3 linked regions of the Drosophila melanogaster genome follow. The protein of the gene in region 1 interacts with the protein of each later gene in a biochemical or structural test. Each region holds a gene or a part of one and is shown in the gene's direction. Other genes may lie near its edges.

Region 1 (7,361 bases):
TTTTATAAAAAGGAATGGGACCACCAAACATACATACATACCTATATATCTATGTATATTTATGTATGGGTGCATATACACGCTTAAAGAAGCGTACAGACGTACCTGCAAATACGATTATCTTGTGCGGATATTTATACACACATATACATACATTCATAAAGGGTCTGGAAAATCACACAAATGTACGTTAAGCAAACATACAGATTTGTTTGTATGTGTAAGCTGTAGAAGCACAGCATGTGTCCGCTTCTTCATAGAGTTTTGAGTAAGACGTTAAATTACAAAAGGCCTGGCACATACACACACAAGTATGTATGTATATAGATGCATACAATATACATACAAACGCATGGGTATCAAAAGAATCTGACGATACCAGATTCAATCCTGCTGTGCACTTGCAGGAAAAATGTTATTTTTCTTGTTTTAATGCCGGACAAGGATACACCATACACATCTACATATGTATGTATGTACAGAGTTGTTTTATAGTTAGGAAATTCATTGCCAAGACTAGTCAACGGTGGTTGTAAAATATAAATTTTTGCAGATACAGGTACAACGGCGTTAAGCATAACTTTAATAAATAAATTTCTTCGTATAGACATAAATATATGAATGAATGAACATATATATGAATATGAACATATAAATACAAATAAATACATATAATACAAATAATACAAATAAATGTATATGTACGTGTTCGTCAATGGACGTATCAAAAAGTATTTATGTATGTAAATATAAGCCCTGTAAATCGTAGCATGAGTTAATATTAATTGAGCTGCATAATATAATGTGAGCTGCAATTTCTTTTCTAATCTCTTACATATGTACATAGCTTTATAGTTCTTTGCTTAAAACGTTTCGAAAGATTTTTATTTTTATTTACATATGTAAATATACATATGTATATAAAACCGTTCAAAGGCATTCGAAGAGCATATGTACATACCTATATTGTAATAATGTTCTAAATAACATTTTTTTTACATACTTAAATTAAAAACAGAATTTTTTTTTAAAGAAAGGATGTGGCTTTCTTAATGTTCCTTATTATTATTGAAATAAACTGGGTATACAAACTTTTTGAATCTTTTATTTTATATTATAACCACTACGAGTACACGGGCGAGAAGGCATTAAAGTATAGTAACATAATATAAAATATACTATGGTATTTATACAAAAAATTTTGTCATAACAAATATTTGTTCGGTATAAAATATATGTACATATATACATACGATGCAAAGTATATAACGGCCACAAACTGCCGAAGACTGTCACACCCTTTTAAAAGTGACTTTTAAAAGTGATGTACCAAAAAAAAGTCATACCCACTTCGAACGATCACAAATTACAAAACCCTTGGAGGTTTGCAAAATACCTCTTTTTGAGATTAAATATATTATCAGTTTATTTCTTCAAAAACACCAAAAATTATCAGTATAACTTCATCACCTACCCATTAATATAAAACTTAACTAGTTAAAATCACCTTTAAAGACGGGGTTAAAAGACAGATGCCACCAAAAAGTACATATGAATATTCTTGGACAGCCATATTCACTGAATATTAATGGCATAATGAAAATAATTATGCTCTCCACTTTATTCGATAAATTTTACTAAATTTGACGACTAATTATGTAGCTTTATCAAAACTGTGGCTTGCCAAAGCTATCTTGTACTAGGCACAATTATATTTAATAGTTCAAGTCGCTTTTTTTTTTAATTACACGCGTTATGAACAAACAAGTCTCCGAAATTGTATTTTTCTTTAAGTAGTGTGTCTTTACTATTAAATACCTTTTTCAATAAACACAGCCAAAATTACTAATGCAGTTCGGAAATAGACGCGTTTCCATCATTAAAGTAGAACATTGATTGACATGAATTTATAAACTTTGTTATATTGCTTTGTTTAAAACATTGTCGTTATACTCACCTAGATCGTCTTTAGACCGCAAAATGTCGTCTAGGTTAAAGCCGTATATCAGATAAAAGAAATTGATTGACCCTAGCCGAATCAATCTAGTTATGCCCGTACGTAATATCGTGTCGGAAATTATAAATCCAATTTGGTTCAAGACAGTGTTGTTGAATTGACCAATACAGAACTAAGGGGCGAAGTGTTGCAATCGAAATATTAATTTTCAAAATTTATAAACAAGTATTTAAGCGCTGCCAGAAGTAACATTTATTTAAGCATCAACATTGCTATAACCACATACCCAAGGGGTTGGAAACATTTTAATTGTTGGATTGTTAGATTACCGAGTCTACTACCTTATTAACATCATATACTATTTAATGAAACTAGTATACCCAATATACCCATAAGATAGGGGTAAAAATTCGATGCATTAAGTACACTGAGTGCAAAAATACTGTGTCGCAAATATTACACCAAACCAGTCTTGATAGGATAGAAAACAGTTATGTATGTTTTCATCAAGAATGCTATTCGCAAGGGCAAGGCTATAATAGATAAATACGACTACAAATACATGTTTGTATTTTAATATACTGGATATACTGGGTATAATGGGTACAAATATCAACGAGATAGCCAAAATCAAGATTGAATCGGGTGTACAAGCTACTGTAAGATTAATCTATATATATATATATATGTATGTGTGTATATGTATATAGAGATAGGCGTTGCCAATAACTTTTGCGTTTTTTGCTTAAAAATAATATTGTATCGCCGAGGACAAAAATTACCCACTGAGAGACACAAACTACTAGCGTAAAAATATCTATATTAACAGCACTGGCATCGAAAAGTATCTTAACTCACGTACGAGTATATGTATTGTGTGGCCATCTTCGATCTGCCCGCCTTCGCCGACTGTTCGTGATCCGTAGGTACACACAGACATTTAAATCACCAATGCACTTGTTACTGTATTGTATTTATGTTTGTGAACCTACACGTATCTATGTAGAATCTGTACAAGTATCTGTGTTTGGACAATGGCATGTGTGAGAGGAGATCCGAACTGCTCCATCTAAACTAACGAAGCATTGCAACAGCTAGTGTTAATGTCGCTCAGTCCACTCGTAAGAAACATAGGAATAAGACGCAGCATTCAAAAAATATTGACTTGTCTTACAAAACTGATTTTCATTGTTCGCTACTTAATATTTAGTGATAAATATATTACTTCGGGACTGATAATCTTATGAATATACGTGTGAGATTTGGCGATACCCTTCATTACTTAGGAAGCCGAGCGCATAAGCTCACACCATTATAATATTTAAGTGATATGAATATTAAATATTAAAATTTAAAACCAACTTTTTAATCAAAGAGTTTCCTTAAAATTGTTTAAGTTGCCGATCAAAAGTGGAAATTTATGCGTGCCGTTATTTGAAATACCAATCTTTTGAAAATGTTTACGCCGACGGTTAATATTATTTAAAAGGATAATTGAATTTATAAAACGACGTCATTCTTGTTGTGGACTAACTTTAATGAAATGGACGCCTACGCGTTACCTACATATTTTCCTCTTGCGTAAGTTTTTATTTGCATATTCGAGAAGTAAGCCTTACAATAGAAAAATATCTACATTTTTGTTTAAAACGAGGAATTTTAAGATTACAGTCCATGAAATGTTTAGAAATGTGTAAGTTAAATAATAACAATTAAATAATAATAATTAAATAATTAAAAAAATAAAAAATAACAATAATTATTGTTATTATTATTATAATAATTATATATAATTACATATAATTATATATATATTATATAATTATTGTTATTATTATTATAATAACAATAATAATAATAATAAAAATAATAATAATAATTTTAATAATTATAATAACTATGGTAACAATAAAAAAGAATAATAATAATAACGATTAACGGGTATAAAAATGTTTATTATTATTATAATTACTATTATTATAATTTTTATGATTAATCAATAAATAATAAACATTTTTATACCCGTTACTAGATTCGTTGAAATGAATGTAACAGGCAGAAGGAAGCGTCTTAGACCATATATAGTATATACATACATGTATATTCTTGATCAGGATCAATAGCCGAGTCGATCTTGCCATATCCGTCTGTCCGTATGAACGTCGAGATCTCAGGAACTATAAAAGCTAGAAGGTTTAGATTCAGCATACAGAGACAAAGACGCAAGTAGCCATGCCCACTCTAACGTCCACAAACAGCGCAAAACTATCACGCCCACACTTTTGAAAAATGTGTTGTTCTTTTCACATTCTGATTAGTCTTTTACATTTCTATCGATTTCTAAAAAAAAACTTTTTGCCAACGCCCTAAAACCGCCCAAAACTCCGACACCCACATTTGTAAAAAATTGTTGGGAATTTTTTTCATAAATTTATTAGTTTATTATTTATTATAAATTTAAGTTTATATCGATTTGCCGACAACATATTTTAATTTTTTTTCTCATTTTATCTTTTATCTATCGATATCCCAGAAAAATTGTGCAATTTCGCATTCACACTAGCTGAGTAACGGGTATCTGATAGTCGGGAAACTCGACTATAGCATTCTCTCTTTTTGAAATTGCGGACGTGCCCGTTTCTGCGGTTAAGAGCGAGCGTGGAAAAAATAATTTTTAAATATCGATAGAAGTCGTAATCTAATTTTGAATTTAAAACGCTGCATTCAAAGATATTGCTATGTTAACATCGAAGCTAGCCAAAAGAAAATTATGTTGGCGTTTACATAAAAATTATATAATAATAAATAGTAAATACATTAAAATACTTAAAAAAATTAGACTCTAACTTTATTGTTGGTTGATCGAGAAGTTACTTGAATCTGTATGTCTGAGATTAATAATCAAGAATTTTTTTATATATCAAATGAATCGGATTATAATAGCGGGGTTTCTTATAATCATGTATCTAATGTCTTTGCTTATGCTTGCCGGTTTGAGGGCGTTAGAGCGATACAAAAACTTTTTAGCGAATCGATAGAAATTTGCAAGACTTCATGAAAAACAAGAGAGACTGTTATAGTCAATTTTCCCGAATATCACAAACCCGTTACTCAGCTAGTGAAATGGAGAGTCCAAAATTTCATAATTTTTCTGGCATATCGATAGATATTGGGGAAAAAAATGAGAAAAATAAAAAAAATTACTGAAGTATGGGCGTTAGCATTTTGGGTGTTTTGTAATTGTTAGGAGGGGCCGAAGTGTTTTTGGCTTACCATAAACATTGACATCAAATTAAATAAAATCAAAACATTTTGCAAAAGTGTGGGCTTGGCAGTTTGGTCGGTTTGTGTTCGTTAAAGTAGGCGTGGAAACATCGGTTTGTATGGATGGGTATGCTTAATCTGAACCTTCTACCAAAGACACTAGAATAACAAGATGCGTAACGCCATACAATTTTTTGGCACACGATTTTTTCGCCGTGGCTCTAGAGGTGGCTCCAGGCTCTCTCGAATTTTTGTTAGAGAGCGAGAGAGCAGAGAGTGCTACAGCGAACAGCTCTTTTCATCGCATAAAGTGATAGCAGACAACTGTATGTGTGCACACGTATGCTCATGCATTGTAAATTTGACAAAATATGCCCTTCACCTTAGAAGTTCTTTGACTTTAAATCTATATTATTTTTGATCAATTGGCACCATGTGAAAAATTCTTGTTTTGCATTGCCTTAACGTTATTATTATATGAAAATAGATTAGAAAGAGCCAAATCTATGTACATATTATCACAAAAATAAATTTAAAAATGACTTTATATATTTAGAATATTTGTCATTAGAGTATTCGTCTTGCGGCGTGTAAAAATTAATTAGGCAATGATTGTTGAGTGCTTGTGTCCGCACTTCGTGCCTCAAGATATGACCAAAGCAAAGACACTAGAATAATTCTAGACTTTTGCAATAAACAGTTATCATATTCTTATGGAATTTATGAAATTCCAGTAGTTATAATAATTTCTATTGTACTTCCTTTAATTATTTACTATATTTATTAAGTCATTTAACATTAAAAGTGTTTCAAAAAAAAATATTTCGCTTTTAAAAAATTGTCAGATGAGAGACAAATTAGAATTAAACATAAATATATATGTGTAAACGGTAGCTAATTCGATCGGCGATTTTAACAAACAAATTTTAAAAGCTTTAATTAAGCGCGAATTTTAAAAAAATTATTTAATTTCATCATATTTCTAGGAAATTGGCAAAAACTACCCTAATATGTACAATGTAAATTCGTTTTTTCGATCAGAATTGATTTCGGCCCGAAAATAGTCTTCTAGCACAACACGCACACATATACGCGTTCTCGTCTCTTGTTTTTACTCACACAAGCAAGCAAATTCTATTTTTAGATTTCTTACGCTCTCAGCGTGAGCGAGCGGAAAGAGAGCAATTTTGGTCGTAGAATTTCTGTCGATTGCCAAACAAATTTTTTACATGACCAGTGCAACGCCCTAAAGCCGCCAAACCCGTCACGCCTACACTTTTAAACAATTTTTAAATTTTTTGTCATTATATTCCTTAATATCTATCGATATCTCAGAAAAATGATTAAATTCACATTCACACTGGTATTAACAACGGGTATCTGATAGTCGGGGAGCTCATCTACATCATTCTCTCTTGTTTTGTGCTGTTTTTGGGCTTTGGGTGTAGGAGCGTCCGGAAACAAACTTAGCAGTGTAGGCGTCACTAGAATCATGAATCATGATTCATCTGAACTTCTGGCATATATATATATATACAAGAGTTCCTTGGCTCTTGGACGGACTTACGATCATGGCTAGATCGACTGTTCAAGAATATATACTCTAAAAAGTCAAACGTTTCTTTCTCCCTAAGTAAAAATGATGATTACAAAAATGTAAACCCAAATACGAGATTTTTGGGTGATGATAGACGATTTATAGTACTTACGCACTTATAGATGATAAACAAAATTTAACAAAAAATTTATTTTATTTCCTATAGGTATTCTGAATTGCAGTTTTTAGCGTCCAGGAGAGCAGCTGCCGTCGCTGCAGCGGCTACTGTTTTACCAGGATCACCATGCATAAACCAACATCACCCAACTGACGTTTCAAGCTCGGTAACAGTGCCATCAATTATTCCAACGGGTGGAACATCAGATTCAATTAAAACTTCAATACAACCACAAATATGCAATGAAAACACCCTTCTTGGAAATGCTGGCCACCAGCACAATCATCAGCCTCAACATGTTCACAATATAAATGTTACTGGACAGCCACATGACTTTCACCCGGCCTATAGAATTCCCGGATACATGGAACAGTTGTATTCTCTTCAACGAACTAATTCAGCTTCATCTTTTCACGGTATTTAAC
Region 2 (5,962 bases), on another chromosome or scaffold:
TAATTCTAAATAGCTAGGAAGCGGGTGCAGGAGTTCCAATGGATGCCCAAGAAGGGCGACTGCGACTTCTATCCTGCCACCTTGCTGGCCTGCGTCATGGAAAAGGTCTACATCAACTGCCCGACCAGCAAATGGAAAAACACCAGCGATTGCACAGCGATGTGGAAATATTTGGTTGCCTGTGATGATGTGGCCAGTAATAAGAAGAAATAGCCATTGCACATATCCAATTATATCCGAATATAGCATCAAAATTAAATTCTTCACTTTTATTCAGCCTCCACTTGGAAGGTCAATTTAGCGAGATCGGCCATTCCACACTGAATTACATCGCCTGCCTTGAACGCATCGGCACCATTGGGCGTTCCGGTAAGGATCAGATCGTTGGCCTCCAGGGTCATGTACTTGGACACGTAGGAAATGATGTCGGGCACCTTGAATATTAAGTCTGCAGTGCACCCGTTTTGCTTAAGGTCTCCATTGACGGTGAGCCAAAGCGGCAAGTTGTGCGGGTCCGTCACTTTTTCGATGGGTATAAACTGGGACACGGGCGTAGAAGTATCAAATCCCTTGCCCAAGGTCCACGGATGACCGGCCGCCCGAGCTGGTCCCTGAAATTGATTATTGATTACAACAATGGCTCTTGATTGAGTGCATCCATCTTCTTACCAAATTGCACTGGGCAGTTAGATCCAAAGCCAGGCAGTATCCTGCCACATAGCTCATGGCATCTGCCTTGGATACGTTCTTGCAGGGCTTTCCAATCACCACGCCTAGTTCCACTTCATATGCCACCTTGGTAAAGACTTTTGGTAACTGGGGGAATACAAAGTTTAAATCACAAGAGGGATTTTCAATTTCCATTCGTTTACTCTCCAGTTTATGGACTTTTGCTATCTTGCTACTATCTTAATGTTATCTTAATTAATTCTCTGTAGAACTCACCACAATGGGCTGACCCTCCTGGAGGTACGAAGATGTGGGCTTGAGGAAGACGAGCGGCTCCTTGGGCACGGGAACGTTCCTGGCCAGCACAACGTCCCTGCGACGGAAGAAAGTATTCGTGGATTACCCATGCAGACCCAAGATTACTATGACACTGAGTTACATGTAATTGAGAGCCACCCCCACAATTTTCTTGCCATTGCTCAAGAAGTTGGCGGCATTTTGGTTTTGGCACGCCATCCTGAGGATTTGAGTTAGTTGCACTGTGAATTTGAAAAAAAATGTGTATTGTAGCTCGATTATGAATGCTCAAGGAAATGATTAGAATGGGAACAGCTCTGCGGTCGAATGAAAGTGAGCATTCGGCGAGCTGGACGGCACTTACTTGCGCAATATTTATTAATTTAAAAGTGGGGGGTTATCTGGAGAGTGGCCCCCCGCAACAAGTTTATCAATTAAATAACAACAGAAAACGGAGAGAGCGATCGAGAAATCAGCTGATATGGATGTGCAGAGTTGTCAGAGCTGGCAAAGTGTGTTGGGTAGCCATACAATGCTTACAATTCATAGCTCTGAAAGGGAAATAACTTAAAAACATTTCATAAATAGTTGTAATTGCAACAACCTGTTCGAAAATTTAGAGCAGAAACGACGAAATTGTGTGCTCTTGCCGTATTTTGCAGCACTGGCCCGTGGCAGTGTGACCGTTCATATATGTGACAGATATCGATAACGATAGTGCACACTCATCTTTGGCTTTGTGGTTTCGCAGTCCGTATTTGGGCGAGATCTGGTAAAAAAAAATAAAATTCTCCGTGTGAAAAGTGAGTGTCCAGTAGTTGGCGTCATCTGAATAAGCAAAAACAAACAACGTGCAAGCCGCCAGGAGCGGTGAGAATAATGACTTGCATACGACATTCGCTCAATTGGTGAGGGACCTCGGCAAGTTGAGTTTGCCTTTGCCATCGCGTTCGCCTCGCCGTTTTCGCGCATCCCGCCTGCGGTCCTACAGAAACCGAGACGAGCAAATTGTAATTTTCCTTCGACCTAAAAATTATATGAAATCGCTGGCGAAAAGCGATTTGCGAGACGTGTTAACGAAAAATCAGCGAAAAACGCTACGTGGTGCGTGAGTGCGAGTGCGACGGAAAACTCTGGCAGTGAGCGAGTGAGAGAGAAGCAAACGACGAGCCAGTAAACTCTACAAACACACAAACAACACAATGATGAAAATGGAGACTGACAAAATAATGGACGAAACCAACTCCAATGCACAGGCCGTGAGTTTTCGCTAAGTTACCTGCTTTAAGCGGGATCTCTGCCCTTCTAAATGCATTAAACACACCGATTTAAGTACATATTGCCCAAGGTGTCGCCTCAATAGACCCACACACATACACACACACAGGGGCACGCACACCTACGCCACCTATGCGTGTTGTCACACACTGGTGTGCGTGTGCTAGTGCTTTATTTTCGTATATACTACAGATTTTGCACTCGTGCACTCTATTAAATTCGGACACTGTGGCACATAGCCATCCCATGGGCTATAACCTTAAACTCTTGTGGATATTAGACATTAGCCTACTTATTCATCGCCAGCATCATCATCATCATCCCCTTTGTTCAATTATCGTTGCATATATATGTATATATCCCCAATCTCCGGTTTTCGAGTCTTAAGATTTCGTTAATTGGCCTCGAGTTTGTGTACACAATTAATAACAAACGCTGTGCACAAAGTACGGCCGTGTACATTTCAATCAGTACTTATTTAATTGTGGAGCTATATACGATAGGCGGCTTACTGAAGGTCAGTTCGCGTAAAACCATCGAGTAATGGGCCAAAAAAATCGTTTTTTATTTTCAATTTTTTCGCTCGGTTTCGCTTGAGTCATCTGGGCTTTAATTTCGCCGGATTCAAGGTGGAATCTGGTTAATGAGACAGATGGCTTCTTGGTAATAGCAGCGAAACACAAACGAGATATTATTAACTATCAATTAGAGGATATATACATTCATATTGCTTATTGCCACAAACCTTTCTCATAGCATAATCAGTGCATAGTTTAAGTAGCATCCTTCAGCTCAAAGTTACCAGGCAAAGGCAAACAACTAAAGCTTACAAAAACCATAATACGGCAATTAAATTAAGGCAACCGACCCGAATACAACTTAGTATGTTTGTACATACATATTCACAACATTTACTACAAATACTGGCAAGGTTTTCGCATTGCTGGCATTGCAGTTAACTTAATTACTCAAATCACTCACACTCGAATCGACCAATTTGTTTACTTCACGCCGATAAAATTGTTTGCCGAGATCTTTAGCGTTTAATTGATGACGTTTGATTTAATTGGGGCCCATCAATGGGTATGTCTATATATAGAATGCGCATAATGAGCATGGAAGACCAAATAAACATCGATACAATTATTATTTATAAACTGGCCGTGTGAATGATCTGTTTCTACCGCTGCGCTGCCAGTCGCGTTTTTCATTCTTCAGAAATCCGCTTTGCAAACTCTTTCGCCGCCGAATAAAAAAAAAATGAGAAAAATTACGAATAGAAAGAAACGCTCAGCGTAGTCGAAGCTAATTGCCTAATTTTAAGCCCCCAGTTTGGGTCGTCGGTAGCCTAAACTAAAGAAAAGTTGCACAACCAGCAGCTACCTACTTTTCCAGTTTTAACGATCGCCCCTTGACATCGAAGCACCCCATAACACATCATCGTCGCCCCACAACAACAACAACAACAACAAAAACGAAACAAATGCAATCTCATAATTAATTTGCTTCTTTATGCCACTTTTCACCCATACAGTTCACAACCACTATGCTGTACGACCCGGTGCGCAAGAAAGACTCATCGCCCACCTACCAAACGGAGCGGGAACTCTGCTTTCAGTACTTCACCCAGTGGAGCGAGTCGGGCCAGGTGGACTTTGTGGAGCACCTGCTGTCGCGCATGTGCCACTATCAACACGGACAGATCAATGCCTATCTCAAGCCGATGCTCCAGCGGGACTTTATCACATTGCTGCCAAGTGAGTGCCTGCCGATACACTGGCTATTGCCACCTGAGTCCAGTCGAAGTGGAGAAATAACTTCCGTTCATACAGATTGATATATTACGTTCACAACAAAGTATTAGGCCAAGACTGTAAACTGTAACATGTTAGCCAACGACTATGAAAATATGAACGTTAAAAATGCAGTTTTAGCTGTGGATTCAATAGTGGTTATTCTACAAGTGAGGAAATGATGAAGTGGTATATCATATATTAATCTGCATTTTTGAAGCTGTTAGATCTATTCCTAAATATTATAAATATTGAACGGATAAATTAGTCATGCTAAGTCATTCCAAGAACGTGATTTATAACCCAGTTGTTATCAACAGCATGCTTTGTATGGGAAGGTCAGTAATCCCAGTTGACCAATAGAGAAACCAATTCACGCAGCCGATAAGAAGGCAATAACAGCTGTTAGGGTGCGAATTCCACCATCGGAGTTTGACCGTTTTCCTCCTAAAATGAAGGCTCAGAAATGGCTCATCCACCATTAGAATCTCAGGCGAGTCTAGCAGCACAAAGCTGAGTTTAAGCCCTCGACACACGCAATTGGCGAAACAATAACAAACTGCAGGTACAAAGTTGAACAACATGAAAGGCAAGCCGCGCTCTGAACCCGGTGCGATTCGTTCCGCGTCCCCCGACAGACACCCTTGCTCCTCCGGATTGTTGCCGGGCATGTTTCCAACTGTTGGAGTGGAGAGGAGCCCAGAGGAGTAGGAGGAGGTGAAGCCAGTGGGTGGGCTTTAGGTTGCTGGTTGTTGGCTGTTGACTAAAAGGTCGTTGCTTCCATTAAACGCGCTTTACCGGAACACAAACAGAACGAAAGCGGGAACGAACCTTGTATATTATTCATAAGAAAATGTGAATCGATTTATTCGTGGCATCGATTGTTGTCGTCCAACAGATGTTAACTAATAACAAAACTATGGAGTGTGCTACGGGTGCAATGGATATGATTGGGTTGGGTATGGGCAAACAGGTTAACTATGAGTATGAGTATGTGAATAAGCGATCAGTTCGCTTATCAATGCATCAATACGTGAGCGTATCGATGACTCAAACAATCAACAAGAGCTGTGCGTGCAATTCTAGCCTTTGCAAGGGCATTTATACAGAAAACGTATATTTACTTTCGGTTCGTTTGCTCAGATATTCGCTGAAATGCATGCATGCATGCATACCTGTTCTGAAATAGCGAAAAAAGTCTCTTTAATTTGCAAGCCTTTCCTTCCTTGAGCCACCAGTCTGGAATAAGTTCTTTTGAGGAAGTCGTCTCATGCTTCCGTTGACTTAATCCCCGGCGATGCACTCCTTGTTCTTGCTTTCTTGTTATGTAATGACAGTACACTATGACCACTTGGCTTTTTTTTTCCAGATATAACTAATTCATATATTGCTTTAAAAGTACAAAGTTCATGCAGTCACTATAAACATAGCAAGCCATTATGATATGCTTATCAGAAATTAGAATGAAGAGCCTGATTAAAATGTTATAAACTGTCAAGTTTAAATTGAGCTATTAATTTACTTTGCTTACCAAGCATCTGATTAGTTATTCACCAATTAATTGACTAATTTATCCCTTAGGAGCATAGTTTTAAATATTTACTCAAAAGAAAATCGAATGCTAGCACATACGTTTGTATAACTTCCGCTTAGTTGGCATCACTGAGTGTTCTAGAATGAAAAAGAGTTGCAAGTAGGTAACATTGTCCCCTCCATTTACATTGTAATGCACTTCAAAGGCAGCTAAAAGGTGGTGGGGGGGACAGTCGGGTGGACAGAGCGGACGGACGGACGGACGGACTTGCTCGCAGACGGATAGACACTCTTAAGACCGTTAGTCGCCGGCGACGGCAAACAAGTTGAGCCAAATCGCTGCCGCCCGCCAAACAGCCTGCCATTCCGAGTTATGCACATTTTTAATTGTG
Region 3 (5,010 bases), on another chromosome or scaffold:
AGAACTCGGCTGCCTTTTCGCGGTTTCGGCGCGGATTAAGCGGGGCCTCGGTCAGCAGCACGGGATGATCCTCCGTGAAGGTGGCCAGTTGTTCCTGGTCAATGCCATTTAAAACATTTAGTTAAGATTATGGAACATTTATGGACAAATTACTTTGCTGTAAATGTAGCTCCATATCCGCTCCATGTCATTCCAGTCGGTGACAATGCCGTGCTCCATGGGGTACCGGATGCTAAGCAGGCCACGGTGCTCCTCCGCCTTGGGTCCAACGAATATGTCGCCCTCCAGCGCACCAGCCATCACTCGGACATGCTTGGGCCGGCCAATGCTGCAGGAGAAGGCATTAGTTCTAGGGGTTCTTAAGGTTCGTGAGTGGTCCACGGCACTTACTAATTGGGAAACCTGCATTTTGGAATGTGCTCACCAGCAAAGCCGGCTTTGATCACACCGGAGCCCTGTCAAAAGTGATGTGGAATACATTTAGTTAGTTGCGTCAGCTTATTTTATTTAAAATTCAACGTGCAAACAGGAAATCTATATAGTCAACATGGAATCCTTTAGTGTGCCGGAAGTGGACATGATGACCGTGTCAAAGAATTCGCAATACGAACGGGAATCGCTACTAAAGTTCGCACCGCCAGTTGGACTGACCAACATCAGCTACGGCAGCTTGTACAAGGTGGACTCCTTCTATTTGGAGTGCCAGAAGTACCGAGATCAATTCCGCGATCCCTACAACAAGCTGCTGCGCCCCAAGATGTTCAGCACATACAGGGGCAAGTGTGGTGTGAAGATAGATCCCGAACTGGAGCGCTTAAAGCGACCCGCTGCCTCCCATGTGGAGTCTATTCCCGTGGTTTACCCAATGGAGTACGGGCACCAAATGGACTTCGACAGAGGCTTCCAGATGCAGGGACGCAACAGCAGGGATGCAGCCACCGCCCGCAGATATCCGTGTGTGCGTGTGCTGGGCAGATAAAGGGATTCCACGCAAGCTTTATAGACCAAATTCCCCGTTTTCGCTGTCTTCACTTCCGAATTGAACCATCTCTGGCGTTTGCGGAGCTATTCTCTCTGGGATTAGTCATGTTGGCCATTTGAAGACGGCTTGAAAGCTCGTTGACAAAGGGACGGGCGGTAGGTGATGTCACTGTTTGCTGGCTAAAACTTTGGGAACCCTAGATTTGCACAAAGCTACCCGCATTTAATGAGCCCCATCTCCACTTACGTTATCTATGACGACGGGCTGGTTGACGACGACATCATAAGGCTCCATTTTGTGCGTTTATCAAAATTTGCAAATTTTCTATTAAATAGTTGGTCAACAGGGTGACCGTAGGTGGTTGGCAGAAATAAACAGCATGTAAAAATATACCACGGCAAGAAATACTCAATATTTTACATGGTGGTGGTTTAAAGCTATATGGATATATATTTTCACTGTTTTTCTCTACATTTTAAAAATAAGCAGAAAAAAGTAAGAAAGTAATAATTATTATAAAAAAGGTTTTAAAAATAAATAATGGTTTTAAAAGAAACTCATGTAAGTTTCCATTGTCAAATCCGCACTTTACATGGCAGTATTTTTATTCATGGTATATTCAAGCGGTGGTATTCCGCAACGTTCCAACTGAGGTCATACTGATCAAACTGGATGAAATGGCCGAGGCGAATTTGGACAAAAAACCTGAGGTGAAGCCTCCGCCGGGCCTTAAGGCCATCATAGACCACCTCGGGCAGGTGTACCCCAACCAGCCGAACCCGCTGCAGGTGACCACACTGCTCAAGTACTGGCTGGGCGGTCAGGATCCGTTGGACTACATTAGCATGTACAACTATCCCGGAGATGTGGATAGGAACGTTCCGCCGCACTGGCACTACATTAGTTTCGGACTCAGCGACCTACACGGGGACGAGCGAGTCCACTTGCGCGAGGAGGGCGTCACTCGGTCTGGCATGGGGTTCGAGTTGACCTTTCGCTTGGCCAAAACAGAAATAGAGCTAAAGCAGCAGATTGAGAACCCGGAAAAGCCCCAAAGACCGCCCACCTGGCCGGCGAACCTGTTGCAGGCCATCGGACGCTATTGTTTTCAAACAGGCAACGGGTTGTGCTTCGGAGACAACATCCCGTGGCGCAAGAGTCTGGATGGCAGTACCACTTCCAAGCTACAGAACCTGCTCGTCGCCCAGGACCCGCAGTTGGGCTGCATCGACACTCCCACGGGCACGGTGGACTTCTGCCAGATCGTCGGCGTCTTTGACGACGAACTTGAGCAGGCATCGCGTTGGAACGGGCGCGGTGTGCTCAACTTCCTTCGCCAAGATATGCAAACTGGCGGTGATTGGCTGGTGACTAACATGGATCGCCAGATGAGCGTCTTCGAACTGTTTCCCGAAACGCTGCTAAACCTACAGGACGATCTGGAGAAGCAGGGTTCCGATCTGGCCGGCGTTAATGCAGATTTTACGTTCCGTGAGCTGAAACCTACCAAGGAGGTGAAGGAGGAGGTGGATTTCCAGGCGCTGAGCGAGAAGTGCGCCAACGACGAAAACAATCGGCAGCTGACGGATACGCAAATGAAACGCGAGGAACCAAGCTTTCCACAATCCATGTCGATGAGCAGCAATTCGCTGCACAAGTCCTGTCCCCTGGACTTTCAAGCGCAGGCACCAAACTGCATTTCACTGGACGGTATTGAGATTACCCTCGCACCTGGTGTGGCCAAGTACCTCCTACTGGCCATCAAGGATCGCATCCGACATGGGCGCCACTTCACCTTCAAGGCTCAGCATCTGGCGCTCACTTTGGTGGCGGAATCCGTCACCGGCTCGGCGGTGACAGTGAACGAACCGTACGGCGTGCTGGGCTACTGGATTCAGGTCCTGATTCCCGATGAACTGGTGCCGCGCCTGATGGAAGACTTCCGCAGCGCGGGCCTAGACGAGAAATGCGAGCCCAAGGAGCGACTGGAGCTCGAGTGGCCCGACAAGAATCTGAAGCTGATCATCGACCAGCCGGAACCTGTGCTGCCCATGTCGCTCGACGCTGCTCCTCTGAAAATGTGATGGTGTCCATTGGTTAGCTAGTAGTTATTTAAATTAATCGAATTGAATCTTCCACTAACGAGTAAGTTTTACATTTATACATCTCATCTAACACAATGCACGTGGCCTTTGCTCCTCGCCGGAGTCCAGTCAAAATATACAAACACATACATATACCCGAAACCACTCGACGGGCCTTTGATCGCAATATGAAAAGAGGAAGCGCCGGCGCCAGGAGCGGCGAACAATTCGCCGGATGAGTCAAGTTGGGGTCAGGCTATTGAGCACTGGAACAGTTCGCTTTGGTGGCTGCGGCGGATATGGCCACTTGCAGGCGGTGGAAGTCATCGCCACCGACTAACCACCAATTGATGGTATTGCGCAGTGGACCGCCGAATGCTTCAGTTTCTAATTCTGGGAATTGATCAATTAGAAGAGCATTCAATTTGAACACAAAATCCCGCCCGGGATCATGTGATTGCGCGAGGAACTGGACCTGGAGCAGCTGCATCATCAGCCTGGCTGATGGGAAACCCTTGACGCATCGCTTGTCTGAGCGTTGCCTAGGTGAATTTTTGTTTACCGCAGAGAACAGTTGCTCTGCTTCTCCGATTAGGCGCCCCTCATCAAGTGAGCGAGCGATTTTTCGCAAAAACAGCTCGTGGAAAATAATTCAGTTTTCTTCATTCCGCCGCCGACGACGCAAGCGTTCGGTTGTGTGCTCGCTCGAGAGGTCTCCACCCGACCACTGATTCCCGCGATTCTCGAGTCGGCTTCATCTGATTCCCAGAGTCTTCAAGTGAATCGCACGTCTGCCTGCAGCGACTGGAGTTCCGGCTTACAAGTACGTAGAGGAGCGGACTTGAAGTTCGTCCAAACGCCGGCGATTACATAAGGGCCAACCCATCGACCGGTGGATGACCTTCGGTTTAGGCAGTGACCCCCCTTGGGATTGAGCTGGGTGTCGAGCGAGCACGTGCATGGCGTTGATAGCGCGAACTTCGGTGATAGCCGCCAAGAACGACAGTGGTTTTAGTTGTATTTCTTTATTTTTACTACAATTCCGTCGAGCGGTTCGCATTACATTGAGTTTTCGCTGTGGCGGCGATGCGGTTTTTTCGGCTGCCCCGCGGCGGGAAAAAGAAACGTTTGCAGAACGGAACGCTGCAATGAACCGTCAACCATAGACAGTAGACCCACCTCGAGCTACCGCGCCCCGAACCCCTCAAGTGCACTCGACAAGGGCATGCATAATCGAAAAATGCGACGAATTTCAGTTATCGCTTGTAATGCAATCTGTGTTCTGCGCAGCTTTAAAAGTGCATTACAATGTTGCTGACCAGATACTAAGCAGGGAAATTGGAGGCGGAATCGAAAGTTATGTGGCCATGATATCTTTGGATATTAATTTGAACCAGTTTTTTTTATGGTTCCTCGTTAACTGAGCTTTGCAATTTAATCCAATTTAAACTTTTCGTTGGCTAAATAAGTGACTAACATGCTAAAGAACAGAAGGGTAACTTATTTAAAGATACAATTTATGTTATTTGAAATATTCAAAAGTAAAAGGCATCCCTTATATCTTTATACCTTTATAGCAATTCCCTCAGCTTATCTCCAGTCGAAACTGAGATCTTCCCTAGTAACTCTCCCTTAAGATCTAGCCTTTGTTGCTCATTTAGTTCGCCTCTGGTTCGCCGACAATGTAAACTGCATTTTCATTTGTCGGGGGCGCAAATAGCGATAAAAGTGTCCAAATATTTGACCAGCCAATTCCGCGTCAGTCGGCGATTATTTTCCGGGATGGGGAAATGCGAGTGGCACTGGTATCATTTCGGCATATTTGGGTGCAGTGTGGCTTACTGATACGCGGAGTGCGTCCAACCGATTCAATGCACTTAAACCTCATACACTATATGATAAATTTGCAGGCAGCACTCCGAATCCAATCCTAGCCAGCAGCCA

The links.
Region 2: the proteins of ci (region 1) and slmb form a complex in vitro, tested with the Drosophila melanogaster proteins (one study listed by BioGRID).
Region 3: the proteins of ci (region 1) and Su(fu) form a complex in vitro, tested with the Drosophila melanogaster proteins (2 studies listed by BioGRID).

What each region holds. Positions count from the first base shown.
Region 1 is NC_004353.4:52,008-59,368, reverse strand, and holds the start of ci (cubitus interruptus), read left to right. Parts: upstream 1-3,037; 5' UTR 3,038-3,500; coding exon 3,501-3,538; intron 3,539-6,984; coding exon 6,985-7,352; intron 7,353-7,361. UniProt on the Drosophila melanogaster protein: Has a dual function as a transcriptional activator and a repressor of the hedgehog (Hh) pathway. The full-length ci form (ciFL), acts as an activator (ciA) while ciR, its C-terminally truncated form, acts as a repressor. Involved in segment polarity.
Region 2 is NT_033777.3:21,123,201-21,129,162, reverse strand, and holds the start of slmb (supernumerary limbs), read left to right. Parts: upstream 1-1,677; 5' UTR 1,678-2,168; coding exon 2,169-2,225; intron 2,226-3,778; coding exon 3,779-4,001; intron 4,002-5,962. Other genes in the region: Obp93a (Odorant-binding protein 93a), read left to right, coding at 14-213; CG5793 (uncharacterized protein), read right to left, coding at 270-611, 670-816, 946-1,042, 1,109-1,185.
Region 3 is NT_033777.3:12,688,088-12,693,097, reverse strand, and holds Su(fu) (suppressor of fused), read left to right. Parts: upstream 1-1,629; 5' UTR 1,630-1,659; coding exon 1,660-3,066; 3' UTR 3,067-3,225; downstream 3,226-5,010. Other genes in the region: CG31347 (uncharacterized protein), read left to right, coding at 548-979; Arp1 (Actin-related protein 1), read right to left, coding at 1-94, 154-328, 391-455, 1,229-1,276; kar (karmoisin), read left to right, coding at 5,010-5,010.